Xenopus tropicalis: one gene and its partners. The protein of the gene in region 3 interacts with the protein of the main gene of each other region in a pairwise test. Links are inferred from orthologs where the notes say so. Each region holds a gene or a part of one and is shown on either strand. Other genes may lie near its edges.

Region 1 (4,523 bases), on a different chromosome or scaffold from region 3:
GCCACAATCTTGGGATTACCTGAGTAATCCGGAATGGTCAGCCCTGCCCATAGGGTGTAGCTTCAATTGCATTAGGTACAACAACAACAACAACAAACATTTGTAAAGCGCTTTTCTCCCGTGGGACCCAAAGCGCATAAGCTTGTCTCAGATAAGTTATGTGGACATAAATGCCAGGCTAAACAGGTGGCTTTTCAGTTTTGATTTAAACGTGTCCAAGGTTGGAGCTGTCTTGATCCCGTTTGGCAAGGCGTTCCACAGGGTAGGGGCAGCATGACAGAAAGCTCTGGATCCAAAGGTTTTCAGTTGAACTCTAGGGATGGTCAGATTATTGGATCCATTTGATCTAAGATTGTGGGAGGTGTGACATAGTTGCAGCAAGTCCTCCAGGTATCCGGGGCCCAGGCCATGTAGGGATTTGAATGTTAGCATCCCAATTTTGAAAAGGATTCTCCATTTTATGGGTAGCCAGTGCAGTGAGCGAAGGATTGGTGTTATGTGGCAATGGCGGGGTTGGCTTGTTAGCAATCTTGCGGCAGCATTCTGTACCAGCTGCAGGCGGTGTAGGTCTTTATTTGGAAGGCCTGCATAGAGGGCATTGCAATAGTCCAGTCGTGATGAGATGAAGGCGTGAACTAGGGTTGGAAGAACCTCAGAAGGAATGAGGTGTTTCATTTTTGCAATATTCCTTAGGTGAAAGAAGGAATGTTTCACCACAGCTGAAATTTGGCTCCTGAAGTTTAATTCCCCATCAATTAGTAAACCCAAGCTGCGCACAGTGTTGGTCTCATGTATAATTTTGAATTGGATTAGTTTTCCCCTAGTACTGATAAGAGGGTAGTAGATATTGGTCCAGATTCAACTCAGTAGAAACAAATGGACAAGATTCAATTTGAGATGCAATTCAATTCAGAAAAACTTATCTCACAGTTTATCACGTCAAAACTCTTGAAATCTATGGGAAAAACTGGAACTGAATTATGAGAAAAGATTTTGCTTTTTCTCTGGAAAAATTAAAACAGTACCTTGTACTTGATTCCAACTAAGATATAATGAATCCTTATTGGAGGAAAAAAACAATTCTATTGGGTCTATTTAATGTTTACATTATTTTTTAGTAGAAGCAAGGTACAGAAATCCAAATTATAGAAAGATCCCTTATCCAGAAAACCCCACGTATTCTGGATAACAGGTGCCATACCTGTATAACAAATATTTGGATTCAATCACTATGACTTTATAATTGCTAGAGTACAGATACATTTAACAGATTATAAAAACAAACAGGAGAATGTTAAAAACCCAGGCCACCGTGGTTCCCAGTAAAACCGTTATCCCTGAGAACATTTTCATCAAATGAAATCAGTGATTCTCCTAAAAAAAGTTTATAACTTGGAAGTTGAGGCTACTGCTTTATTTTACAGCTTATTTATGAAATATAGAATTATCTTTTTACGTTTTAAATTCTGGACTGTGCTTATATATGGGCTATTACCATACAGGCAAGCAGCTGAGCAAATGCAGCTTCACAGGACTTGTGTTGTTATATAGCAAGAGGGCAGGGAGAGTACTTGCCAAGTTTTCCCTACAGTCTTGTATTAAACACTGGAAGAGAGCGTAAGGCTTCCTAAATGTAAAAAAGGGCTGAGCAGGTGCATAAGTAGAAGTTAGTGGACTTCAAAGAAGACCCGTGTTGCAAGCATATATAGAAGCAGCTATTGGTGTAATCATAGAGGAAGCAGACCCTATGTGGGGACCGTGGGGTCTAATTCCAAATACAAGTGTATTTATCTTATTTTTAGTTAGAGCCCATCTATTTCCATGACATATACATTACCCAAGTCACATAAATGGCTCACTTAGAAGCCCAATAATTCTTTACTGTTTCTCATCACCTCGGAAATACCAGAGGGTTGGTGAACTGTGCAGCAGGACAGAGAACAAAAAGTACCACATCTGAAGCCAAGCTCAGGCATTGCTTAAATAACATCATAGCAGTGCCAGTGTCTGACCCACTCATCCTGAATATAGGGTCTAAACTGTAAGTACATAGGATAGGTGAATGAATAGGCTGGCTGGATTTAAACAGTGGGCGACCCTAGCCTGCGCCATTTGTCGTTCTCTGCCCTCTCCTTTGCATTGAATGTGCACATCCACGTATGCGCAATAGATTTGTAATTATTATCCCATATTGGTAGAGTGCCAACAGTGATTTACATAGACATTCACATTAGTCCCTACCCTAGCATGCATGCATTGCAGGTTTACCTTCAGTTCTATAAAATCTGTCCCCCAAAACTGTTTTCTTCTTTTGTATAAAGTAGTAATTTGTTTACAGACATATTTCTATATAAATCCATTCTTCTGTCATCAGCATTGAAGAAAGTATTTGCAGAAAGTGATGAAGCTCAGACATTAGCCCAAGAGCAATTCATAATGCTCAACCTTATGGTAAGTGATTTTGCATAACAGTATGTACATCAATGTATAATGAATGTCAGACACTGTCTGTTAGGTGAGGCATATGTTTATATGTAAATGTGTTTGGACAATTAGCAATGCTAGACTATTTACATTCCCATAGAAATGAAGAACATGACACGAGGGTGTAACTTTGCACTCCTGGCATCCCAGCAAAGTACATTTCTGGGCCTCACCTCCAAGCAAAGCCTTAGCTACTGATAATCATACACTTACATAAGGAAGAACATATACAGCAACACACTCCCTACAATCTAGGACCCAAGAGAAAGCTTCTTGCTTCTGCCTTGTTGAATAAGGTACAAAGTACTAGGCTTACAGATCCATGGAATCCCTAGAATTGAGAAAATGTTAAGGTGGCCATACATGGGTAGATTTAAGTTGGAAATCCAACTCCATTATACTGATTTGGCAGCTTATCTGCCCGTGTATAGGCCCCCCCCAATGGGTTTCCATGATCGATATCAGGCAGGTGTCAATCGGGCAGGTTTGATTTTCCCGTCAGATGACCGCATCAGCTCATTGATGCAGTCCTTGGTCTGACAGCTCCTATGCTCTTCATTGCAATTCATTGGCCCTAGGGCCAAACAATCAAAGTAGCCCGATATTACCCACCTTCCCTTTACATGCTGCTTCTATACATATAACTTACACCTAATAATTTGCAGTTTTCAGCACTGGAACATTAGCCAGCAAAATGCAAACACAACTTGTAATTTACCAATGTACGGCTTACTCTACTCAGCAGTTGGTCAAAATTATGCTTGATTTCCATGAAAAATGTTTCAATGCAGTATCATACCTGAATTAGGGAATAAATTCTATGTCAGAGCCAGGCCAACACAAATGGGTACCCAAGGCAAGCCCCCAGGCCAATCCCACTCCCTCGGCAACTCCTCTCAAGAACAATATAAATGTTGCATTAAAAGATTTATCTGAATCTGACCTAGTCAATAGGTCAGATTCAATTTGATGAGAAAGCTAATCTCCTAATTCAATTGCAGATTTTCCCATAGAGCCAGATGTAATTCAGTGACAAAAACTTATCTCACTACTTATCCCATGGAAACTCTATTGATGTCAATGCAAAAAACTGGAACTGAATTAGGAGAAAAGTATTTTCTCCTTAGATAGAATCTCGCACATAAGGTTATTACATGATGCAGGATAAACTAGCATGTTGTCTTGGAGTTTAATCTGGCCCAATGTGTGCAGTTGTATAAGGTTTGCAAGGACACGGGGGGGGGGGGCAATGTCTTTTGGATCTTTTGGATTGCATTAATGTATACATATAAAGTTCATGCGCTTACATTTTCACATTTTTTATATTAGCATGAAACAACTGACAAAAACCTTTCCCCTGATGGACAGTATGTGCCTCGGATAATGTTTATTGGTAAGTAATAAAGGCATGGATGCTGTATATTTCTCTGAACTACTGTGGTTGCTTTTTCGCTGCAAACATTTTTGTATGCTAAATGCACAAGAGCCACAAATATCCTTTAAATTATATCCTTATAAGCAATGCTTAGTGATGTCTCCAGTTATAAATGATGCTCAGTGATGTAATTTGTGTCATATGACTCACTGACACTTGTGTGTTATAATAAATAATGTACCCCCTTTAGTAAAATGTGAGGATATTGGAAGTCACCTCGGAGTTACATCAACAAATGTCTTCATCTTTGTGTCTTTGGTCAGGTGGTAATGGAGCTCCTCTAAAAGCCCTATATTTTACAACAGGGGGGCACATTATTATGCACAGAAATGTCCAAATAGAAAGCACTCACAGATCAATTGGAAGAATACATTTAAATCCACTACACATCAACGCATTTAAATACTTAAGGGACTGTCCTCCTGATGACAGTTCCTTGAGAAATAAAACGCTATGATGTGTTGCACTATGTGGATTAAACTGTATTTTTACATGAAATAGATCCATGAGTGCTTTCTTTTGAACATAATTGTGATATATTGATTAGCACCCCGATAAAAACAGCAGTGAGGATTGTCGATCACTATATCATATTCTTATACAT
Region 2 (5,196 bases), about 77 Mb from region 3:
TAGGATTGTTTTGCCCCCAATAAGGATTAATTATATCTTAGTTGGGACCAAGTACAAGGTACTGTTTTATTGTTACAGAGAAAAAGGAAATAAATTTTAAAAATCAAAATTATTTGCTTATAAAAAGGAGTCTATGGGAGATGGCCTTTCCGTAATCCGGAACTTTCTGGATAATGGGTTTCCGGATAAAGGATCCCATACCTGCACTACTGATCAACAGCACTATTAACAGAAAACTGCGCTTAGCAGTCTGCTGAGAATACGCTACATACGCACTGAATACGGTGCAGGCACATGTAGTCAATATCCACCAAAAATGCAAAGTCTCACGTTTTCTGGCGGATATCAGCTACATGTGCCTGCACCTGAGTGTATTCAATGCATTCGGATGCAGGCACAGGTAGAAGGATGTTTAAGTGTATGTAGTATATCCTTGGCAAGCGGTTTTCGACTTGCGGAAAATACGCTACATACACTACGTGTGACATTAGCCTAAATGTTGTGACCTTAAGGGTGAAGACACACGGAGCTCCTAATAGAAGCTCATTTTCATGGCTACTAAAATTGACAATGCTGATCATTTATTGATAATTGTCTCTATGTGTGTGCAGAGGCAATGCTCAGTATTGTCTAAGGCAGCATATTTTCTGGAATTAAACAGCTGTTAAAAAGAAGCTGCTACTAGAAGCTCTGTGCGTCTTCACCCTTACTTCACCTTTAAATTAGCTTTTTATTTCTTTAGGGTTTTTCAGTTATTTAGCTTTTTGTCAAGCAGCCCTCCATTTATTTTAGTAGCTATATGGTTGCTAGGGCTTATTTACCCTAGCAACTAGGCAGTGGTTTAAACAAGAGATGGGAATATGAATAGCAGAGGGCCCACACAGAAAGATAAGTAATAAAAAGTAACAATAATAATAAACCTGTAGCCCCCCCAGCATACACAGCATAGGCCCCCCCCATAGGTCAAGTAATGTAAAAGTGTGATTGGTGGCTAAAGATCCCTCCCATGTCAGGAGTAAGGCCCCATATTGCCCTGTGAGAGGGAACAATAACAGGAAACTGGTTAGTAACTGGCCAATCCAGATTGCATCTCTCTGCTACATTGCCCATGTTTACCTTGAGGTTAGCTTTGAGTCCCGCTGTCTTTGCCAGCTTTTGCAGTTCCGAGTACCTCAGACCCTCCAGTTGGGATAAAGTCGGCGCTTCCATAGTCACAACGTTGCGATTCCTGTGTATACACGGGCTCCAACTGCATACAACAAAACTGACGTTTAGGCGCGTAGGAAGAACTAACGGCTTGCTTTCAAAACTCAGCTTCTCGGCTCCATCATTGGCCAGTGGCGTGTCATTTCTAGCCAATGAACGCTCAGCTGAGTAAACATACCCTCCCACACAACTTGTACGTCCAGTTTCTATTGGATGGCGCTGGCGTAACCATGTGTTCGATTGGCTGGGAATAAAAGCTTCAAATCCAGCTGTTTCACTTTGAGAGCTATGTTTTATTGCAATACGAACATAGCAGCTACACGTTTGACACGATACTTTTAAAACATTACCTACATATTCCCCAGCATCCCACTGCAGATTGCGACGATGGGACTAGTATTATTTTTCAGTCACAGACCTGAAGGGAGGGCTTCTTGATTGGCGTTCTCAGTGACCCAATCGGAGGCTAGTAGTTGGCCAATCAGAGTGCGACTTTGACAAACTATAAAGTTCCAAAAGCATGGCGGGGAGCGCTTGGTTATTGTGTAGTGCTGCGGAAATGCAGTCTGTTTGCGGGGAAAGCACGGTGGACTTGGAGCAGACAAACCCAGAGGTGTCATGTCGGAAGTTAAATGGCAGTTCGGGCGGGCCTGAGGCGTGTGTGGTATTCCTGTGTAAGAACTGCTACACGGTGCTGGGGGACTCGCTCAGTGTGTGTGGGGAGGAGAGGAGCTTGGCTGCCATCGCCTGCCTGCGTGAGTCCTAAGCGGCCTTAGGCTTGGTCAGTTTAAATGCAAGTATCTTATTGGTTGTGCGGGTTAGTACGTCTGCCCAGGGCCTTTTATTACATGAGAAGGCAGGAAGAACAGAGCTGTACATTGTTTATAAACTGATATAGTTGCCTTCCTTTTTTTTTCTTTTTTCTTTTTCTCCACTTGCCAATAATATAGCTGTGGTGTTAAGGGCTGACCTAGAGAGGGCGCCATTCACAGGTGTTTAAAAGGCAACAAAACCTGAAGCAGATTCTGCTTTATAAAAGCCAAGGCAACATGTGCTGTAGAAGTGGGTACCCTGCCATTGCTGCCTCCCCACCCCTGCAAAGGGAATCTTGCACCCTCATTTGCCATGGTCACTCTTGTCAAGTCTTCTTCCCCAACACTCTACCCTTTGCCTACTTTTTTTTTTTTTTTTTAGCAGAGCTTGGGAAACAGCAATGGAAAGGGTTGGGAATGAAAAACCATCAGGGATCCAAAATAGGCCCAGGCATTTCAGATACACAGAGGCCCAAACAGCCCCCACCAGCCCAATAAATAGTGAGTGACTATGGCATCTTACAGCAGCCCCTCTGGCATTTGCCAGAATCCACAGATAGCCAGTCTGGGCCTGCAAACCCCGAAGTAGACTCAACAAAGATATGCTGCTGTGTTGTAGTAAAGTCTTAGGGACACATTTACTAATCCACGAATCCGAATCACGAATGGGGAAAAAAATCGTATTGGAAACGAAAATTTCGTAAGATCGCAAATATCACGAAAATGCTTACAAAAAATCATATTAGTCACGATAATATCGTATTGGCGATCCGAAAGTCACGAAATTTTCGTACCGAACAATTGTAAACAGCGGTAAAACCTTTCCGAAAAAGTCGTGCGGACGCCCCAAAAAATCGGCGAAAATATGCTCGGAGTGTTCGCATGAACGCTCGAGCGTTCGTGCTTTTGTAAATGTGCCCCTTAGAGTGCTGTCAAGTGTGTTTTTTGTATTTTTTTTTCATTTTCTTAATATGGTTTTATTGATTTTGGGTAACAAAGGGGTGGGAGGGGTAACTGCATCTTACATGTTGTATTCATTCAAAGTTATACATTGTATCAAAACTTAAATAAAAAGGGGGAAGGTGGATGTCCCTCTAGCGAGCTAGGTTATAGATTGTTTGTAGAAGTCCGATTCTTTGAAAGATAGCCAGTGATACTAAGCTATAGGTGTTGTAGTGTTGTGGAGAGGAAAGAGAGTTCTTCAAATTTATGTATTTCTTCAATTTTCTTATACCAGTCTTGCAGCGTCGGGGTTGCAATTTGTTTCCATATTTGCGGTATTAATAATTTGGGCGAGTTTAGTAGGTGCGGTTCGAGCGAATTTTTAAAAGTAGACAGTTCCATATGAAATAGCAAAACATATTCAGGAGCATTTGATATTTCAATATTAAAGATATGGTATATTGCTTTCCCAGAAAGGTTGAATAAGTGGACACGTCCAAAATGTGTAGCAATGAGCCTTTTCCTTTGTTGCATCTCCAGCGTCAGGTGTTTTTTAACCCACTTGGGTGCCTAATTGCCACAGATAAGAAGCCACCTTTTGATTTGGGCTTTGACAGGCTATCCCTTAATGCTGTCAGTTTGCAGTTGGTCTGTGTGGATCATTTTTCTGCAACTGGTGGACGGGGTATCGGCAAATGCAAAAGAGCCCAGACTAGAGGTAGGTGAATAGGTACCTGCCTAGCACCCCCACTGTTGTGCCCTAGGCAGGTGCCTATTCTGCCCACCTCTAATTCCAGCCCTGCCCTCCTGCAAAGTCTAGTAAACTGCTGACTGTCTAGAATGGCCAAGTTTTTTTTTTTTTTTTTTAACCTTTTTCTGTATGACCACCTTTAGGGCGAAGACACATGGAGCTACTTGGCTATTAAATGCCAGAAATACCCTGCCAGAGGCAATAATGAGAATTGCCTCTGCTAAACACACTTAGAGACAATTATCCATAAATGGTCAGCATTGTCTATTTTTGTAGCCCTGACACGTAGCTGCTACTAGTAGCTCCATGTGTCTTTACCCTTTGAGAAAAGGAGCAGCTCATCCTGCAGAGGTTATTATGGGGACGACTTTCAGTTTTTGCCTGGTAAATGCAAGAACTAACCTTCACACAATCCCTGTTCAATCAGCTAATGCTGAAAAATCGGGTTATACTGCTTTAATTCCCTTTTCTGTAAACTGCATGCATCAGGGGAACATTGACCAATAGTGTTTAAAGGTATTTTACAACATACTGTTGCTATGCACTGGAAAAGTTTTTTGCTTCAGAGACTAATATAGTTATATAAATAAGCTGTTGTGTAGAAGTGGGAGCTGGAAAAGGATCAGGTTATATAGCTGATAAGCTCTGTAGAATATAATGGTGTTCTACAGCATCTCTTATCTACTATGTAAACTTTGCCATTTAGGGCTCTGGCACACGGAGTGTAGTCGCCCGAGACAAATCTCCCTTGTTGCGGGCGACTAAACTCCCCAATATTACATCCCACTGGCGAAAATGTAAATCGCCGGTCGGATGGCATACGCGGTGCCGCTATTTACATTTTCGCCAATGGGATGTCATATCGGGGAGATTTGTCGCGGGTGACTAATCTCCCCGTGTACCAGAGCCCTTAGCCTTAACTACTTGGGATGACTGAAAGAATTATCTGGGGAAATAGCCTCCGACTCGCTATACGTGCCCAGATAGTCAGGCTGTATTGTTTGAACTAAAGCAAACAATCCATCTAGATTTGGGTATGTATTACCAGCTTTAAAGGCAAGTTGCGCTTGTGGGCTTGACAGCCCTCATTTAACCTTGAGCCTGCTTTCCAAATTTCTTTGAGATATGGAAATTGAAATGGACATGGCTACAATGTATCCTATATGTACTGAACATAATCATACTTTTTTTTTTTTTTTTTTTAGGAGTCACAGAAGATTTGAATGTAGGAGAATCAGTACTTTTTGTGGTGAATGGGAACCTGAAAGGCTGGTGAGTCTGTACTGTATATTGCAACCAGCATAGAGTGAGGCTGTTGTAGGTTAGAAATGATTCCACCCATTTGGGTCTGTCGGACACATGGCCTTTGATGAGGGTATATGAGAACGTACACTCCTGAAGGGAGACCAGAACACTTGCAATTTGGAACTCTGTGCATTCTCATAAATGGAGAGACCCTTAATAAATAGGGCATCTCATGAATGG
Region 3 (4,523 bases):
ATCGGGTTTAGGTACAATGGTTTACCTATTTTTTATTGTCGCCTTTCTCTTCTTCCCAATCTTTGTACCCTATTAATTCATTTCTTTGAGGATCACCATTTTCCCTATGTGTTCTTCTCAATAGCAGCCCCTGGTTTGAACTTTGGTTTATTGTCATCGACTCAGTCTGCTGTTCCTTCCACTGCTTCTACTCCAGCTGCCTCGCAGTCGGTAGCACCAACACCTGGGCTTAGCCTTACATCATTGGGCAAACCAGCAGACCCATCTGCAGGTAACTACTGCCCACTGGCAGTTTCACATTGACCTTTTAGCTCTGTCTTAATTCAAAAAGGTTATTTTACACATAGGTCTTATCTTCAGGTATATGCATATTTGTGTTTATTTATTTTCTGTAACTATTAAAATACTTACAAAAAATAAAACCCAAGTAACCTTATATTCTTGAGTTTTGTAAACAAAATGGCAGTTAAGTTACCCTTATAGGTAAAGCCCCAAACTATCAGGTAAGGCTATACAGAATTCAAATCCTAGTGTGCTTAAAACGTCCTCCCTAAATTCCTCATCTCTGCTGAGATCAACTCCCCAAAGATAGTAAAATAGGTCACTGTGTAAACCATGTTCCAATGTTGCAGCAATATAGAATGAGACTGTTTATACAGTAAAGATATCTTTAAAAGAGGTGGGGTGGGGTTAAGCACACCAGAATGACAATTGTGTATCACTAACTGTCTTTCCTTGTTGTCTTGAAAATGTGTTTAATTGAAAATGAAGACTAACTTCATAGTGTCTTAGAATTCCATTATCTACACCATACTAAAAGTTATTTTTTAGGTAAACTAACTGTTAAAGTGAGTGTTAAGTAAGTTTTGTCCGAAAGGGCTATGTAAATACAGCCATAACCACTTACAGAACTGGTGCTTTGGGTCTTCAGTGAAACGAAACACCACATTTCTTTTTTTATATATATATATATATATTATATATATATATAATATATGGTCTTCTGTGTCAGACTTCCTGCTCTCAGAAAAATCAGTTTGTTCCTCCCTCCCTTCTCCTTCTCCCCCTCCTTTCTTTGCTGTGTAATCTGAGCTTAGAGCTGTTCCAGGAGCAGTGTGCAGGTACAGAAGTGAAGTCAGACCAAGTTAAAATGGCTGCTGCTGTCTTAAACAAGCAGAGAGAGCTTTTATAGCTGTTTACTTAGGTATGGTAAAGCATTCTGCAGAATAAATATAGCATTCTGACTAATCTATTGGCAATAAAATGCCTTTTCTTCTCTTTTGAAGTTTTACATTTATTTTTTTTCTGTAAAATGTACTTTCTTCTAAGTTTTGCCTTTTATATAACAGTTGTAACTCTTATGTTTAAATTGATACAGCAATGGTATCCACAGGAACCGCCACAACAGCCACACCTTCCCTTTCTTCCCTTCTGGGGACATCTGGGCCCTCTCTCTTCTCTTCTTTGGCTACTTCAACTGCTGCAGCTGTTGTGACGACAACAACAACAGCAGCAGCAAGTGGACTGTCATGTAAGTTCTCATTTTCATTTTTAAACATAGTACTGTTCAATATAAATAATCAGTACTGAGTTACCAACGTGATTCACCAGTTTTTTTGTGAGCTGCTGGTTAAAATACAACAGAAGTTGTTTTTTATGTTATTTTTGTGTGGTCTATTAAAGTGTGGTAAGTGTTAAAAAAGAGACAAATTAGGGCTACTTCATAAGCACTTTCTCATTATGAGTTATGGTTAAAAAGTAGGCAGTTTCTCCCTACTCATGTCTGTTTTTTGTGTTTTACACTATCTTCTGTGTGGATAGTTATTTGAAAAAGAGCTTTCCCATAAACTATTTTACTTATTTTTGTTAAGAGATGCCCTAATCTGCTAGCTATATAGTTTATTTTTTGTCATACTTGTGATCCTTTGTGTTTCTTTTAATCTGATTCCTGCTTATGCCAAGGGCCTCAGTGCATAGCTTTGTATTCAGTAAAGTGAGATGCATATCTCTTATTAGTGAGTTCGACTACAGCAGGCACGGGTTTTGGAATGAAGATTTTGCCAAGCAGTGCTGCACCAACAGGAACATTGCCTACCAGCAGTAAGTATAAAGTGGGAAGTTTAGCATAGCAATAATTTCTGTAGTTCTGTGTTAAACACTTTTTTCACGGGATCATAATGTAATTTTAAGTTTACTCTTATATGAGTGAACAACAGAGCCTTGAGAACAGATGTTTTTGGTGATTGTAATGCAGGGTTTTGCAATATTGCAATTTTCTGCCTTACTATGCTCTTTTCCACCTTATTGTAATTGTGTGTAAATAATGGAAATTGTGCACTATTACATCCTTTTTCCTTGCTTTGCACTTTCTTGCCCTACAATACACTGTTTTGCCATATTGAGCATTTTGAGCAATAATTAAGATAAGCAGTGTGGGTCATGTGTATTGTATACGCAGTATACTGAGGAAGCGCACTGGCACAATACTCATTAGGAGCTCAGTGACCATGGAGCACTGTGGTACCTCTCTCCTTTGCATGAAGTTATGGTTGTTTTATGTGCAAAATAAAAGTTTGCATGTGTGATACTGCCTATGTTTGTAGGCACTTGTTCGCAATAAATTATTAGACTGATCAGCCGAATAAACCAAATCTTTAGTCCAATGCTATGGCTTTTCTTTAGGAAAATAGATTATAGTATAGTTGAAGTCTTTCTTCATGCATAAAATAGTTGCTGGTTCTCATCTAGAGACTTCTGTCCTTATTTTCAGCAGCCTCTCTTGGTATGAGAACTCCACTTTCTGGAACCACAGTTCAGGCTAATGTTGTCAGTTCTGCTGCAGCTGCAGGAGTCGGGTAAGAGGTGTCACAAATGATACCATTATCAGCATAGCAGTCATTAATTTTATTTCTCTGGTTGACTGATATTTTGATTTGTGTTTTTCCACATAATGGTTTGTCTTTTTAGTACTGCTGCAACAATGACTTATGCTCAGCTAGAAAATCTGATTAATAAGTGGAGTTTGGAATTGGAAGATCAAGAAAAACACTTTCTGCAACAAGCAACTCAGGTCAACGCATGGGACAGAACTCTTATGCAGAATGGAGAACGGGTGAGAAATCTGAGAAAAAAACACTTGTGTGGCTTAGTGTAAACAGTTTTTGTGTGTGTGCAATAATGTTTTCACAGGCAGAATTTATTTTTATTTATTTTTTTGTCTGATTTCAGATCACCACTTTACACAGAGAAATGGAAAAAGTTAAACTGGACCAGAAAAGGTATGAGTAGGAAGTAAAACGGCAAAAACATAGAAAATTTGACCAAGATGAATGATGTTTGGTTGATTGATTGAATATATGTAAGAAAGGCACACCTGAGCTGAAAATCAAATGTTTTAAATGTACAATATTGCATAAACCTATTAAATAATAGTTGGTTCTATTTTTAATGTTCTCATTTATAGAAATAGATTGAGTTTTTCATAGCAAAAAAAAAAAAGTAGGAAATATAAAACATGAGTAGTTGGGAATCACAATCCATGCAATTCAAAGTGAAAAGGGGACAGGGGGTGGGATGTTAGGAAAGGAGAGGGAGGATCAGTAACAACACTTGCATCAATGCTGGAGCCCTGTCAATCTTTGAACGCATATGCAAACTTGGTGTAACTAGATAGGGGACTTCTGGTGCCTCATCTTAAGAAGCAGTGCTGAAAGTTTGGGTTTTGTAAAGATAAAAATCCCAAAGTTGTAGTGGGCAAAAGTAGTTTCCTGTTCCTTCCACGTGGCAGTGGGTACCAAAGGTTTAATCTCCCCTGCCATGAAGAAGGTACAGGAAATTAAAACATATTAAAAGTACTTCCCCTTTCCAATGCACCTATTTATTTTTTCCTATCAAGACACCCTTTAAATACCAGCAGAGTAGCTCTCCTCTTGCTGAAGCTCCTGGGGCTGATTCATCTAAAAAGATTTATGCCTTTGCTGATCAAGATGTCCATCATTGGGTATTGGTATTGTCCTTAGTCAGTTGACATGGTTGCATAGGGAAGGGGAAGTCCTTTTTATATGTTGTCATTTTCTGTATATTTCATAGTAACATAGTAAGTTAGATTGAAAAAAAGATGTATGTCCATCACGTTCAATCATCTTCCTCACAGCAGGCACAAGAACAAGTATGTGAACAGATTGAAAAAGCAATGTTTAAAGTAATGTAAAATCCACAAACAAAAACAATTCAATAGAAAGTAAAATCTTGTTTTTGCTGTGTGTATTTTCATTTTCTGTCTGGCTGTGTAGAAATATATGGTGATTAAACAGGTACACCTGCATGCTAAGCTTGCTCTTTGGAAGCTATTGGGTCTGTTTCACCCTCTCTACTCTTCTATCAGGTTGGATCAGGAACTGGACTTCATCTTGTCACAGCAAAAAGAACTGGAGGACCTTCTGACTCCTCTGGAGGAATCTGTGAAAGAGCAGAGCGGAACCATTTACCTCCAGCATGCAGATGAAGAGAGAGAGAAAACGTGA
Region 4 (5,290 bases), on a different chromosome or scaffold from region 3:
TGTATAGAGTTAATTAGTTGATTCAGATGATTAGGTTAAGGGCTCTGGCACACGGGGAGATTAGTCGCCCGCGACAAAACTCCCTGTTCGCGGGCGACTAATCTCCCCGAGTTGCCTTCCCCTGCCATCCCACCGGCGAACATGTAAGTCGCCGGCGAGATGGCACACGCGGCGGCGCGATTACCCTTTGAGTCAAGGCACTCAAGTTATTGTTGTTTCCAATGGCGTTTTTGGAGAGGTAGACAAATTCCGGGCGCTGGGCCTGCGTTTAAAACATGTTATGTTGTGACATTTACAAACATAGATTCATAAGGGGACACTTCTCTAGAAAAGGATCCATTCATATTATACATTTCAATATTTGCTTCAATATACAAACATTAAATAAAGCGGGTGTTTCTTGCCCACTATGGGAATGTTGGGTATTTTTGTGAAAGCAATGCTGGAGTTGCATTTGCAAGAACTCCAAAGTACAGGGCAAGTGTAAAAAAGTAAAAAAGAAATGTATTAAGAATTGTGCCTACACAGCTTAATGCTGTGTAGGCACTAAAAGTGTTATAGGAGCTTATTGGAGCCTATGATTAAGTGTAAAGTAGGCAGGAAATGTATGAGGCCTTCTATAAACATGTTATTTTTTAAAACGTTTTTATACTTGGCCGGTAAGTTGGAGTTTTTGGAAGTGCAAGCCCAGCATTGTTTTTACCGTGATCTTCCTTTATTAACTAAAGGTTTGGGGTTTGGCACCCACTGGTGAGCTCTTTCTTTTCTGAATCAAACTTGGGAATTTGACTACTTATTTGTGATGAGCGAATCTGTCCCATTTCGCTACTTCCAAAAATTTGCGGAACTGCTGAAAAATTCATGAAACACTGAAAAATTTGCAAAATACATTGAAGTCAATAGGTGACTTTTTTACGCGCAACAAATTTTTACAGACATTTTTCACTGCCCATTTTTTCTCATTCCAGTCACTGGGCATTTTTTTGTGGCATTTTTTTTTGAGAAATAAATTTGCCAATGGCAAAAGAGGATGTGAGGAACCAGGAACTTAATATGTGGTGTCCAAAGGTCACATTGAATAATATGCCATTTAGAGTCATAAATCCTGTAATATAAACTGGTTCACTCAAAAATTCTGGTAAATGTAAAAAGCTTAGGATTCCTTAGACACCCCACAGCCTGTGTGTTAATCAGACATGATCAAGCACAAAATAATAAAATAGTCTGGAATTTAAAAAGGCTAAAAATTGTTCTTCACTTGCCTTCTTACTTTGCAACATGAATTATACATATATATACGGCATGTTTTATAACATTACATAAACCAGATTCTGTATATGGCTCTGTGTTTAATGGCGTGCTGAATCAATGGCACGCCAATCTTGCATTCGCTTATAGCTTCAATTTACTCTTCTGCTGCTATTAGAAACAATTCTGTTACCTAGAAAGCCAGGATAGTTCTGGAACACAATTATCCAGGTTTCAATTATGGAAATACAGTGATGAAGATTAGCCTTTATTTATACTCTTTACACAGGAGGTAGGGATTTTATGCAGGTGCTAATGAAGTGCTGAAATCCATTGATTTGGTTGTACATCTCCATTTAATTTTATTGAAATTGTGTTAAATGCAGGAAACATCGCATTTCACCCTGAGAAAGGAAGGGAATGATAATACTACAAAAGAGCTCCATGGATCTTTAAATATGATGTAATAATAATGCAGGGTGATGATGTAACATACTATTGAATGCACAGAAAGTTGAAATGAAAAAAATAAAATTCAGGTCAGTGGATGACTGTATATAAAAGATTTTCATTTTTTGTTGCTACTGGCCCTAAAGGTTGTGTTTTCAGTAGGTAGAGAAGGTATATGCTCTGAGAAGCAAAAATCCCGGCCACCTTTTCTCTATCTCTTGCCCATTTAAAGAAGAGACCTCAGTCTTTCTACATTATTTTAACCGGCTTGTTTATATTGATGTATTTCTATGGCCTTTCTATGTTGTTCAGAGAACATTCTTCATGTGGCAATTTACCAACTGTTGCTGCAGACAGAACAAAACAAGTGCTGATGAGCAGTGGAAATATAGAGAACAGAACCTGTGTTTGCTATTTGCTTTGCTCTTTATTTTAGTCAGCAAATTGTTTCACACTGAATTCCAGGAGAAAGGGGCCAGGGAAATGTCACTGATTGCCCAGTAAAAAAAAATCAACCGAGTTGGTCTGACCAGAAAAAGGAAAGGTCCACAGAGCAAAGTGCGGAGAAATATGTATAAATCTAGCTACCGGCACGAAGTGCGCAAGGATAAATATGAAAGAAGCGACGCTTTTGATGAGCAAAAATTAGTAGACTTTGGCAACCTTGGCTTGACACAGGTTCAAGGACTAGAAAACCTGCATGAACTAAATGAAAGGTTTGCTAACTACATTAACAGAGCTAGGGTACTGGAGCAAAGAAATGGCATCTTTAGGAAGCAGCTGGAGACCTTCCAGAGAATGGATGAAATCTCTGGCCTGGAAGAAGCATTCGAAGAACAGATAGAACTGAACCAACAGAGAATCAGGGAGCTAGCTTCTGATCGGTCCCGTCTCGAAAGGGAGTACAAAGATGCCCAGAGGATGGTGGAAGAATTTAAAAACAAGTAAGCGATGTGTTGCCCTTCCCATTGCCATGAATGCTTTGCTTTGGTTATTATAGGAAAACGTGTTCAGCTCAGTATATTTCATTACTAGGTAATGATGATAGAGAAGCCAGTAAGTTCTCATAGATGTATTACCCTGCATATTTCAGAATAGTTGTATATATTATGCCTATATACATGCTACACTTTAACACTTTCTTAACAAATATGAATACAGGTATCGGACCCATTATCCAGAATGCTCAGGACCAAGGGTATTCCGGATAAGGGGTCTTTCTGTAATTTGGATTTCCATACCTTAAGTCTACTAAAGAATCAAGAAAACATTAATTAAACCACATGGGATTGTTTTGCATCCAATAAGGATTATTTATATCTTAGTTGGGATCAATTACAAGGTACTGTTTTATTACAACAGAGAAAAAAAAAGAAAAAAAAAAAGAAAATCCATTTTAAAATTCTGAATTTTTTGATTAAAATGGAGTCTATGGGAGACGGGCATTCCTTAATTCGGAGCTTTCTGGATAACGGGTTTCCGAATAAGGGATCCCATACCTGTACTATGTTCTTTTTTTATTTTACATATTCTCAGATATTATTTATATATCTGACTCTCTTGCTCTCTTCAAGGGTTGTAAATCATGGCAGCTACATGATATAATAAAGCTTTCTATTTTTGGACTGTCTGTTCCCCTGACTACTACACAAATCCCCTCTCAAAACAATGTAAGCAGGCTGCTGTTTAAAATCTTCCTTTTATTGGGATAAGCAATTGTTACTCCATCACATAAAATTCTGTAGAAGACAGGAAAGGATAAAGAATTTCAGCAAAAACATTTGTTGACTACATGTCCCATAATACACATTGAGGGCATCACAAAGAAGGGCAAAAACCTTGAAATGTTGGCATTTTTCAACTAATGGAGCATCCAAAATAACTGAAAACCTCTAATACCATAAAACAACATGACCTCAACAGCTGTTACATGGCAAAGTTTTGTATCAGTGTTTTTTGTGGTTTTGACATTTAATATATCATGAAAAAATTGTGTTTTTTATCACCAAAAATTCCCACAAATTGTGGGAAAAAAAATAAAATTCTACCTGCCTCTCAAGGGGCTGGGGTTTTGGATTTAACAATTTATTTTCAGTGCTGGAACAATTCATTCCAACCCAGAAAATAATTGGGCTTTTCTTTCTCTCTGAATGTGATACTCATCAGGTAGTCAGAATCTGCTGCACTGTGCACTGTCCCATAGGAAATTATTGTGTTGGCGCAGTGGGACTCATTCTAACAGCAATGACACCATTATCAGCTTCGATATATGAGTCAGGTCATTAAAAGTTTTGATAAATTAAAAAGATTGAAGGTCTTGAAATCTCTTGATTTCCAGGTTCAGTCTTTGATAATTCAGCCCGGTAAGCAAAAATCCATAACCCCAGGGTATGGAAAGAGCTTAGCGCTGTGGTTACTGAAGGTATAGGGGATGTATAGTCAAAAATCATAATCCTTGTGTGTGAAATTTATACCAAATGAAATACATTTACAATATAAAATCATTAAAATTCTTTGTATTTTGCATCTTATGCTATTCCCCTAAATCTGATCACAGCTCCTAGAAACCTACAGGGCTAGTGGCCATCCTGATGTGAAAAAAGCAGGGCACTGCTCTGTATCAGACGTGAAAAAAAAAACAAAAACTGTGACCGTCCTATACCAGACTTGAAAAAAAAACACAGGCATTTATTTACTGGATTGTCATTGGTCAGTTGCTGATAAGGCACAGATAAGGAGGTGAGTTGCACTTCAGGCACAGATAAGGAGGTGAAACATGAGCAGAGAGTGCTCTTTTAATTGTGGTTATTTGAATGTCCTGGGATAGAATGAATAAGGCATGAAGGTGATGAATAATTTAAAGGAGATATGAGTTTTTTGAAACAGTGTGGCAACACAAGTAAATTGAGAATTGTTCCACTTATCATGGGTTAAAAACAAAACGGATGCCATTGCTTGGCTTTGCTTGGCATACAGTATATGATGAAGAGGTAGAGGAGGGAATACACAGTGGGACTTTAATTTATCAGCTCTAAGATGCATTTGGCTCCCTTAGTGCTGCTGAGTTAAAAAAAATACATGAGCATCCGTGGGTCCCTCTTCCAATAAGGATGGTTTCAGTAAATATTCATATCATGAAAAAGTTATTGCCAAAGGTGCCATAGAACTGATTCTTATATGTCTCATATTTGGTAGCATGTTATTTGTAGCAGCATTCTGTGAGGGAAACAGACTATAAGTCCATTTAGACATACAGGGTATATTTATCATGCTGTGTGAAAAGTGGAGTGAAGCATTACCGGTGATGTTGCCCAGGGCAACCAATCAGCAATTAGATTTCAACAGTTAGAAAACCAAAGCAAAGCATCTGATTGGCTGCCATTAGCAACATCACCAGTAATGTTTTACTCCACTTTTTACACAGCATGATAAATGATTATTATGTGTTTTGCTATTGGTTTTGCTGTGGGTACTAATGTAGCAAACCCACCCCTACCGACCTATATGTAACAATTTTACAGATAATTAGACTTGAGTTACTATATTTTGGGCTTTAGCAAGAGCCCAATTCAGTTTAGATTGAATTGTTCCA
Region 5 (5,102 bases), on a different chromosome or scaffold from region 3:
GTGTGCGTCTGCTTGCTGCACATCTATACCGAGTGCAGTGGTGTATTTATAATAAGGCATCTGAGGGCATCTGGGTTCTGCAAAAGTGATGTCACGCACACACTGCCGCCACATTGGTGCAGTTGACGTCACATGCACAATGAAGGGTACTATTTAGGTCCAGTGCCTAGGACAACACTGGACCTAAATACACCCCTGAGCGAGCACACACATTTTCAGACCCCACAATCCGGGCCCGGACCCTGTTCCCTGGGCTCCCCCGCAACTGCGGGTTCTGCTTCCTCTATAGTTACGCCACTGCAACCACTGCTAAATCTGCTAGTTTGGTGAAGTCAGCAAATGATGGGATCTAGACCCAATTTGACCATGTTGGGCCAAATAGTGCTGATCTGATTTTTGCCCTAGAGGGGCCCACCGGAAAACCTTGGGCTCACTCTCCAAACTATTTTTCCTCCTTTCCTCACTCAACCACTTTATTCTCCAAGTTTCTTTTATTTACATGCTAGCATCTATCCTTCCATCTATTTTTCCTCTTTGTTCCTATTCAGAAATTGGGAATGACCATGAAGTAGGCCAAATGGTCAGGAGCAGGAGGGCCCACTGACGCCTGGGCCCACCGGGAGTTTTCCTGGTATCCTGGTGGGCCAGTCCAACACTGGTCAGGGATGCCACATACATGGGCCAGTAAGCTGCCTTAAGGCCAGCTCAGAAATGCTTAGCTGATGTTCAGTTTAAATATATATTGGAGAAAAGTACCTCAAGTTATGGGGGGGGGGGGGGTAACCTAGTGACATTTAGTTATACTTATGCCCTTTCTGCAAGCCTAACACTGAGACAGACTGAACCATGGAAGTGAGGTGAAGTCAGCACAGGACAGACAGGCTCTGGCACCTAAGGCAGCCAAATAGTGGGGTATATTATATAAGGACATATTTATAAGGGGAAAATATTTCAAATATGCTACTAAAAGGTAAAATTTAATAAATATGCACTTGTGTCACTGCTGTGCTTTGGTACAAGAAATTCTGCTTTTATCTGTGGCATAGATATCAGGAAGTGATTTCCACATGTTATTTCATGGGCAACAAATTGTCTTCAGATTTTAGGCTAGGGATAGCCAATATGTGTCCCAAAAGCTTTTGTTGAGCTATATAAGCCTTCAGGCCAGTGTGAGATTTACTAGTAATGGGGTGTGGGGGTAACCAAGTTACTCCTGGTAACTGCCATACATTGAGCTTATGGTGGCATTACACTTGTGCTCTTCAATTCCTCTCAGAGGATGCTGGGAGCTGTAGTTTAGGAATAACTGGGACGCTGTGTGACAGACCCCACATTCTTGCGCATTGAAGTCTCTTTGTGGATGGAAATTTTTACATAAAGATATGGTTCATGGCCCCCCCAAAACCATAACCCACTTTCCAGCTTTGGATATAGAGTATCCCTCCCTCGTCACTTCTCTGCAGATTTATAAACAATTAATTCAGCGCTCATGGTGCAAAGTGTCCCTATTTTAGCGGTCTCCCCATGTCCCATTAAAGCCCCCCTCCCCCTTATTCATATCCTGCAACCAGACACACAGTAGGGACACAGTAATCGCACAGGGCCTCGCCCCTTACAGCTTGACGGACAACTCATTAACCAATCGCGCGAAGCTCCTCCGGACCTTCACCAATCCGGAGCTTGCAAGGGAGGGTAAAGGGTGGCACCGGAGCCAGCAGTACTGGTTGAGCTGTGCAGGTAGGTGCAAACTGAGGGGTGCTTGGGGTGTGGGGTTCATGCACCAGGTGGCAGTGGGAGTGGGGGTAGAGCACCCCTGGGCATCCAGAGGAGGCTGGGCAGAGATGGAACAGCCCATTGCAAGAGTTGGGGATGAAGGGGGCTGTGAGGAATTCTCCAGTATTCTCTAGCAGTCAGCAGGCCAGATACACTAGATACTGGAACTTTATAGGATCAGCTGTGGGGGGAGCACAGCCCCAGTGCACACTACCACACTGTGCCACACATGCAGGGCAGACACTACTTATACTATATATGTTCACTCATACTAAATACATACAGGGGAGAACATACAAATACCACTGTCTACCAGAGTCCACCCTATTAAAAATTTCCACAAAATAAAAAAAAAAAAAAACTAAATCAGATAGCGTGAGTGAAAAAATATGACTATTTGTGATCCTAGATATCAATGGATGATGCAGAGGAACCCCCCAAACTGGCCTTTGGCAGACAATGCTACAAGGATGCCTCCGAGGAACAGCCGGGATGAGGCAACAAGGATCCATGGATCAAATGAAAATCGGTACAGTCTGATAATATGGTGAGTAAGCGCCATGCTTTTATAATGTGAGTCTTTAATAGCACTGAAAGGACAGGACAGGTCCTACAGAAATTCCTTTATCTCCATTTATTCTGGGGTTACAGTAAAAGAGTGGTAACCATAAAAATGAAATGAAACACATATAAATCTTATATAATTAGTGATAATTTTAATGCAAACTGCAATGACTTCTAAGCAGCATACAGTGTGCCTCTAAATGATGATAGCGGATGTCCGGTATTAAAATGTGCAAGCAAATGTGAGGCCATGGACCTCTGACGGAGGTAGGCGAGATGGCAGGCATTTTGTTACCCTCTGTCACTTTTCCACTGGAAGGCAGTGGCACACAGAATCCTTGTCCTGTGCCATTAGCCTAAATATCTGTAGTGGGAAAAGAAATGGGTAGCAATCCAGTGCACATTGCTAAGGCTGCACATCCAGACTGGGTGCCCATGGCTGAAGGGAACAGTAACTTTCTTGAAGTAAACACGACCCACAGCTTTGCCTTACTAATGCTGCTCCTTGCCTTACAGCTCACCAGCATTGCTCTTTTCTTTCTTGGGGTCTGGATGAACTTATTTATCTCGACTTCTCATAAGGAGGTCTGGAATGGGATATAAAATAGGCCATGGCATATCATGTACAGAGAGGCCAAAAAATCCCAATAAATAGTGACTGTCTATGGCAGGGGTGTCAAACTCAATCACATAAGGGGGCCAAAATCTAAAACACAGGCTAAGCTGCGGGCTGAATTTTTTATTAAGATACTTAATCTTACTAAAGGATAGATCCTTCCTCACCCTGAAACACCATATCACACGCCATCTTCGTGCATTAATTATGTTTTGAAAATAACAGCAGTTCAGGCCGCATGCCTTGTGTTTGACACGTGGTCTATGGCATCTTATACCAGCCCCTCTGGCATTTGCCAGAATCTGTAGACTGCGAGTCCGGGCCTGCTCATAGGACATGGGTCACATCAGACAAGTGGATTAGTTAGGGGATGGTGAGATAGCAGTCAGGGTTAGTGGTTCATGTCTTGGAAAATCCATGGTAGGGATGGTCTATGGGTAAAGCCAGATGGTTGAATATTACAAGAAACATCCCTTAGACCCTGTTCCTCACTGTTACCATTTGTGAGTGTGGGAGTCCTCATTGCTGACCATAGTCGATAGGGATCATTGACAACACAGCCTATCACTGGAAATGGTAATGCCCTGGGGCCTTTTACTAGATGCTTCTCCCAGCTGCTTTAACATTAGAGCTTGGTCTGCCTCTGCAGCCTGCTTAATTTGTGAGGAGCATGTAATTTTAAAAACGTAGTCCATATACTATTAAAAAAATATGGGGCAGCACCTGGCCATTCTACCTTTAATTATCCTATTTCCTCTGCAATTATGCTTTTCTTTGTTCCCTTTTTATTTTTTTAATTCAGTTGCCAGCTTCTTTCATGATATCCCACAGCCAATTCCATGTGTAATACCCCAGAACACATAGCAACAAAAATGCTGTGGAAATTTAATTTAAAATACATCTTAGATTACCTTGCAGGATTACCTGTAATGTCTGTTTCACATAAAATATCACAGAAACATAGTAGGATAAATGCATTGCCAATTCCATTTATAATGCCCTCAGAACTTATGCCTGTTCCATATATAATGCCCCCAAAACACATGCCAGATCCATATATTTAGCCCCCAGAACACATGCCAAATCCATATATATAATGCCTCCAGAAAAAATGTAATATAATACAGTCTCAGTTTCATGCATAATAATCCCACAACACATGTGAGGACAAGAGGATTGGTTATCAGGGAATATGAAGTGGGTCATTACCTAGGGAATCTAAAAATTATGGAGGATGAGGAGGATGATTTATGAATTAGGAGAGGAATTTTATTATGGGCAAGAATTTGTAAGTGTCAGTGATCCAGCTATTCTGTAATTGCAGATCTCAAAATGTAACAATTAGCTGAGCTTGCAATGCATGTTGAGAGTTGTAGTCGTGTCACAGTGGCAGAAGCACTCTACCCCTAATGTAGGACAGTGGTCAGGATTAGAAGGAGAGGTGTGACAGTAGGAAGCAAACAATAATAAAATTTAGATGTAAGAAAGACAACCCTCTCAAGGTCTATTTAATTTACTTGAGACTCCTTGAGATAACTTCAATTTATTACAAACAATTTATTATAAACAGAAGTACAATTTGTTATATTAATGAACTAGTGTTTATTATTGCAGCCCCCTGGTCTTATTCATAGCACTTACTATAGCACTTGTCACTTGAATAAGACTAGGGGCTGCAATAATAAATACTAGTGCATTAATATAACAAACTGTTCTAGTATTCTGTATGGAGAAGAAAATTGAAGTGATCTCAAAAGGTGTCTTTTTTTTTTTTCCTCTAAAAAAATAAATTGATTAGACCTTTGAGAGGGTTGTCTTTTTTCCTTAATTTCATTATAGTTTAACTTCACTCTCACAAGATATTCTGGTTCTTAGGATCTAAAGTGATAATTCTAAGTAGGTAAAAACTTTTTCCTTTTTTAGTAGAAAGAAAGCTGACCTAGCTGTCCCTGCTGTACATAGAGAGGGCTAGTCACCCATACTTGGTACCACACTATAGAGCTGGCTAAAGAATGCAGGAAATGAGCTGTGGGTTTGCCACTGAGTGGGCTGGATGTTTCTGTTGCTGAGTATATGATGCAATGCAGTGTAAGCTGCTGTCCTTCCTGGCAGTCGCCCGTTTCCCCATGGTTTGTATCTCTGCAAAACC
Region 6 (5,069 bases), on a different chromosome or scaffold from region 3:
ACTCTGTAGCGTCAGCCATCTTGGATCTTTTGTGCACCTAAATGCGCATCCTCCAGCTCCCCCCAGCATCGTCCCTGCGGCGACCAAACTTCCCCCCCTGCTCCCCGCAGCACTCGCCTGCTCCTTCTGTGTCCGGCTAATGGTGCACGCTCATAGGGGCCAGCTCAGATGGTAGGGGAGCATGCCTGCTTGTGTCACTGAAGAGAGACATGCGCATGCGCCGCCTAGTGTCCTGGGTTATAGGGTCTGTGCAGGAGCGATGCATTATGGGAATCCTCTTTACCCAGCTCGGCGTTTTTTTTTCACGTTTGGCTTCTGATCATCTGAACGATTGCAATATGGGGAGACTTGAGGGCACTATTGAGACAACTGAAGGTAAGCCTGCAGCTTGAGATTAACTCTTTGGTAGCCTTTACTTCTCCTTTAAGTACTTTGGTCCTTGTAGCAATCAGTAGAAAGCTTCCTGGGCTTTGCATAGCTGTTGTCATGGCTGTGTGGGACCAGAGGTGACCCGATTCAGCACAGCCCATAGCCCAGCACCTGTCCCCGGCCCGGTGGTTGGGAACCCCTGATTTAAAGCACATAGAGGCCCAAGCAACCCTGCACCAGCCCAATATATAGTGACTTTCTGTAGGGCTAGAAATGGGTCTGGCAGAAGAGGCATGTGCCCAGGGTACAATGTAACCTGTCACTAGTCTGGGCTCTTGTCCTCCCACTTCCCACTCGTCATTTACCTCCCCAGTAGTCAACATGCATGCATGCATGCAAAGGGGTGAGGTGGCTGGCTGGGTTGCCTAGGATGCCCAGCCGACTTGGCCCAGCACAAACTGTCCATGGCCATAGGCCTCTGCAAAAAGAGGCAAGGAAGGCCACTTGCCCCCCCCCCCCCTAGAATTCTACACACCTGACCCAGATCGGTGTTGAAATGTAACATATTGCCCAGCTTGTCCTTGGTTTTTCTCAGCTACCTGCTCCTTGAGAAAAGAATTAAACAATAAAACTGTAGCTTCACAGAGCAATAGTTTTTTTGTCTCAGGTGTCAGTGATCCCCTTTTAAAAGCTGCAAAGAGAACAAGATGGCAAATACTGTAATTCAAAAACTATGGAAACAAATAATAAAGACTTAAGAATATATAATTGAAAAGTTTAATAGAATTGGCCTTTATATAACAAACTAAAAGTGAAATAAAAGGTGAGCCATCACTTTAAACAGCCCCCTGGTTCTACACTTATTAGTTGCGAGCAGCGTTACAGGCTTTGCTAATAAACCTAATACGTACGTAAAACACAGTTTGCTTTTTACTTAATGACTCTTCCTCCCCGCAGTTTTTGCGGACACCCATGTCTATGACAAATACGTACAAAGGTTCTTCTAGCCTGGAATAAAAAACTGACCAAAACCAACTCCGATATCGCGCTACTTTATTACACTACTGGATGTAAACTACATCAATTCCACTTCCACGTTAGCGATAATAGGCATAAAGAGTCCCTTGACTTTGCGGTTGAACTTGGTAAACCTAATAAAGTTATAGGGCAACAAAAGAAACTTATCCCTGCAGAATGAGCTAAAGCCCAAGTACATGACAGCTCCACACTTCAACGTTACACATAATAGAACGCTGAACCTTATTACGCAACCTGGCTGCAACAAACTTTATTGTTGGTTACGCCCCCTCAGGCCATGTGACCCGCACGTTGTGTGGCGTTGGCACGCCGCGTCCCTATTTGCTAGCTGCGCGAGTGGAGGACGCTATGGCTGGCGTGGGCCGGGTGTTTTGCTCCTTATGGAGAAAATGTGGGGTGCACGAGTTTCGGGTGCCTTGTGCTTCTTATCATAAGAAGGTATGCAGCGCTGTGCGTGGGGCGTACGGGGCCAATACGGAACAGGGTAGTGTGGGAGCAGGAAACGAGTGTTACATAAGGTGACACAGGTGTCACAGTGACAGCGCTCGCCTCGCAGCCCATACTATAAAGTACTTATTGCCAATGCAAGCCGACACGTTTATCTTTTAACACCGTAACCATCTTTACAGAGGACTACAACATGAGTCGTTTTAATTCTTAATAGAAGGCTGTCAGCTTCGGTTGTGGTGAAATACAGTAACAGCAGCCAGTGGGGTTGTCAGCTTCACTTCCCCGAATGGCTTGAGAGAAAAGGTGTCTCAAGAGAGAAGCCGAGTTAGCAACTGATAGGAATTGACAATGACTGACTCTAGCACTCTGAGGGTATAGGGAATATGGTAAAACTTTATGCTAAGTAAGACATGTTTGCCATAAGAGATACTGACATCAAAAATGTATTCTTTTTTTTTTTACTTCTGTCATACCATAGGCTTTGCATGCTATTGATTAATTTGCCAGAAAAGTATTCATCATGCTGTCCGTTAGAATTACAAGCTATAACTGACTGGCTAAGAAGGGACAGTCAGGTTGGTAAAACTGGTTTAGGACTTCAAGTAACAATTACTCACAAATGCAGCTCTTTCGGTAAAAAACGAGCAACATGACCTATAGGCAACTTTTCGTGGACATTTGTATTTTGAAGAGTAGTTTTTTAGTGTCAGTATCAAATGTACATATATAAATATAATTCACTGCACCACTACGGTAGCTGAAGTGTTTCAAGGTTATGAGGGGACATTTACGGGAGAATTCAGGAAAAGGAAATATTGTGGTTGTGATGCCAAATTCTCAGACTTATTTTTCTGCCCCTATAGACAGTTTTGCAAAAAATATCATTAAAAGTATGCATGGCTATCTTTCTGTCAATACCTGTTGTGAGTTTCTCATACAAGGCACTTTTGGCAAGCAAAAACACATTTGTCAAAAACAAATTATACATCTCTAAATTACTTTTTGTTTTCATTAAGAATTTGTGCCACTTTATTTCCTTTGGCTGCTTTCCTGTGTCAACAACACATACAATTTGGATTGTGGCATGATAGCTAATCTTCATCTTGGGGGTGGTCAGTTTCATTCCTTCGCTGCTAGTTGATTGGCAGACCTGACATTATATTTAACTACATCTTTCCTGGATGAGGGCAATCCTGTGATTTGGTAAAGACCAAAACACCCATATTCACTGGCACCGGTATTTAGTAAAAGTTAAAAGTATTTAAAACAATTTAGAGATATATGACTTTTAAAATGCTCTGATGGTTAATACGACAGCACATAGTATAGATAGGGATTTTGCCATTCTTTTGAATGGGAATGAAGTATGGGTCAGGATAGGTGTTTTGACCTTTGTAACTCTCCTTGAAAGAACTAAAGCACTGTGATGCCTGTGCTATAGATATTACAGATGTTTGTTGTTTACAAGATAAAATCTGATGCAAGTGTTTACAGGGGCTCAGCATTCATTGCCTTCCATTAAATTTGCAGCTTATATACTAACTGAGCAAATGGCAATTTTACACAAAAACTTTTGTACCAAAGTTAAGGTACATAAGCTACCAAATAAGGACTGTGTTTAGTTATTTGGTAGCCCCTATGTGAACTGGCAGACTACAGGAGGCTCTGTTTGGCAGTGCACATAGTTTTTATGCAAAAAAAAAAACAAAACTTGTCTGTAAGCCAGAAATTAAAAAAATAAACCCCTGCTTTGAGGCCACTGGGAGCAACATCCAAGGGATCGGTGAGCAACATGTTGTTCTCGAGCCACTGGTTGGGAGTCACTGCCCTAACCCATATAGGCCTAGATCTAACTAATTATATGCAGTGCTCCCTAAAACAGGGTTAAATCTAGCATTTCAATAAAAGTGGTTTGGTGCTTATTTTACAGAAATGTAATGTTTGTATTCACGTTGTAAACAAGGCTGGCATAAAAATGTGGGTCAATATAGTGACAGAACATTTCACTATTAACAGCAGTATCTCTGTATGCTGAATAGTACCATTTGTACTCCATAGTTTTTCACAGCAAGCAATAAAAAAAAAAAAACATTGTACAGATTTTTTTTTTTTTTTTAAACTAATTCATTTTTGTTAGTAATAATTTAAAGGAGAACAAAAGTTATAATCACTGGTAGGTGCCAAAATGTTAGGAAGGAAGAGGATCGCTCACCTGCCTGTGTAACAGGAGCACCAGCCAGGGGTTTCACGTAAGTGATTACAATCACTGGTGCCTTGTGCCTAACATTTGACTCTCCTCAGTGATTTAGCCTTTCCTTCTCCTTTAATTAGACTTTTTCAGATTTTGTGGCCAAGCTTACGTTTGTGTAGGTTTCATTGTTCTCTGGCACTGTTCCCTGGCATCTGTAATAGATTTGCAACCATGTGTGACTTTTTGTTGCCACAAGATTAGCAGCAGAAGTAAACATCTTGTGACTTGTTCAGACCACAAGTTCTTTTTAATTTGTCACTTGTCACATAATCATAGAGGGCACAGAAGATGGCCAAGTAACCTTGGCCATATTTATACAGATTGCTGTGTTTCTGTCCCAGTGTAATTACAGGCCTCAGAATTATTTGCATTACACTCAAGAGCATATTTTTTAACTGTTTAAATTAACATCACCTCTAAGGACAAAGGAAATATTGTCTTCTTAATAGACTCTATAAGGACTAATGAAAGTCTATTAAGAGAAGATAAAACTGGAAATGACTACAAAATGTTGATGCATTAGCTATGACATCATGGGTTTTATATCAATACATCTATCTGTAGCAAAGTGTAAGCCGATGCTTCAAATGTGTGTTCTAAACAGACAGTTAAGAAAATTACCATTCTGCATGCAAAAATAACTGCTTGTTAAAGATGCTTGGTTGTTTTGTCTCAGCATTTAAATGGTGACTAAACCCCTGTACATATGTTTGTACTCAATGTGCATGATATAAACCTTCTGTTGTGCCCAAAGGTACATTTGCTGTATGACAACCTAGGTTCCCTCTCACTCTGATTAAACAAAATTTAAACAAAATTAGACTAGTGATACTAGTATACTGGCATGGGATTTCGTATCTGGAAACCCAATACCCAGAAAGTCTGCACACTCCATTTTAAGCAAATTGTAAAAAGGATTTTCTTTCTCTCAGTAGTAATAAAACAATGCCATGTACTTTAC

What was found.
Region 1: the proteins of nup62 (region 3) and agr3 interact in binary tests that used the Homo sapiens proteins (3 or more experiments, as listed by UniProt). The two-hybrid records come from large-scale screens. The link is inferred for Xenopus tropicalis from reciprocal best matches to the Homo sapiens genes NUP62 and AGR3.
Region 2: the proteins of nup62 (region 3) and oip5 interact in binary tests that used the Homo sapiens proteins (3 or more experiments, as listed by UniProt). The two-hybrid records come from large-scale screens. The link is inferred for Xenopus tropicalis from reciprocal best matches to the Homo sapiens genes NUP62 and OIP5.
Region 4: the proteins of nup62 (region 3) and bfsp1 interact in binary tests that used the Homo sapiens proteins (3 or more experiments, as listed by UniProt). The two-hybrid records come from large-scale screens. The link is inferred for Xenopus tropicalis from reciprocal best matches to the Homo sapiens genes NUP62 and BFSP1.
Region 5: the proteins of nup62 (region 3) and kansl1 interact in binary tests that used the Homo sapiens proteins (3 or more experiments, as listed by UniProt). The two-hybrid records come from large-scale screens. The link is inferred for Xenopus tropicalis from reciprocal best matches to the Homo sapiens genes NUP62 and KANSL1.
Region 6: the proteins of nup62 (region 3) and iscu interact in binary tests that used the Homo sapiens proteins (3 or more experiments, as listed by UniProt). The two-hybrid records come from large-scale screens. The link is inferred for Xenopus tropicalis from reciprocal best matches to the Homo sapiens genes NUP62 and ISCU.

What each region holds. Positions count from the first base shown.
Region 1 is NC_030682.2:37,463,151-37,467,673, reverse strand, and holds part of agr3 (anterior gradient protein 3), read left to right. Parts: intron 1-2,374; coding exon 2,375-2,451; intron 2,452-3,813; coding exon 3,814-3,877; intron 3,878-4,523. UniProt on the Homo sapiens protein: Required for calcium-mediated regulation of ciliary beat frequency and mucociliary clearance in the airway. Might be involved in the regulation of intracellular calcium in tracheal epithelial cells.
Region 2 is NC_030684.2:115,742,306-115,747,501, reverse strand, and holds the start of oip5 (protein Mis18-beta), read left to right. Parts: upstream 1-1,629; 5' UTR 1,630-1,726; coding exon 1,727-1,961; intron 1,962-4,916; coding exon 4,917-4,983; intron 4,984-5,196. Other genes in the region: nusap1 (nucleolar and spindle-associated protein 1), read right to left, coding at 1,117-1,209. UniProt on the Homo sapiens protein: Required for recruitment of CENPA to centromeres and normal chromosome segregation during mitosis.
Region 3 is NC_030684.2:38,697,701-38,702,223, forward strand, and holds part of nup62 (nucleoporin-62 C-terminal-like protein), read left to right. Parts: intron 1-124; coding exon 125-271; intron 272-1,378; coding exon 1,379-1,531; intron 1,532-2,016; coding exon 2,017-2,100; intron 2,101-2,770; coding exon 2,771-2,855; intron 2,856-2,967; coding exon 2,968-3,112; intron 3,113-3,228; coding exon 3,229-3,278; intron 3,279-4,384; coding exon 4,385-4,519; intron 4,520-4,523. UniProt on the Homo sapiens protein: Essential component of the nuclear pore complex. The N-terminal is probably involved in nucleocytoplasmic transport.
Region 4 is NC_030681.2:30,135,766-30,141,055, reverse strand, and holds the start of bfsp1 (filensin), read left to right. Parts: upstream 1-2,192; 5' UTR 2,193-2,268; coding exon 2,269-2,642; intron 2,643-5,290. UniProt on the Homo sapiens protein: Required for the correct formation of lens intermediate filaments as part of a complex composed of BFSP1, BFSP2 and CRYAA. Involved in altering the calcium regulation of MIP water permeability.
Region 5 is NC_030686.2:17,302,366-17,307,467, reverse strand, and holds the start of kansl1 (KAT8 regulatory NSL complex subunit 1), read left to right. Parts: upstream 1-1,705; 5' UTR 1,706-1,737; intron 1,738-2,182; 5' UTR 2,183-2,320; intron 2,321-5,102. UniProt on the Homo sapiens protein: Non-catalytic component of the NSL histone acetyltransferase complex, a multiprotein complex that mediates histone H4 acetylation at 'Lys-5'- and 'Lys-8' (H4K5ac and H4K8ac) at transcription start sites and promotes transcription initiation.
Region 6 is NC_030677.2:146,313,070-146,318,138, forward strand, and holds the start of iscu (iron-sulfur cluster assembly enzyme ISCU, mitochondrial), read left to right. Parts: upstream 1-1,726; 5' UTR 1,727-1,755; coding exon 1,756-1,845; intron 1,846-5,069.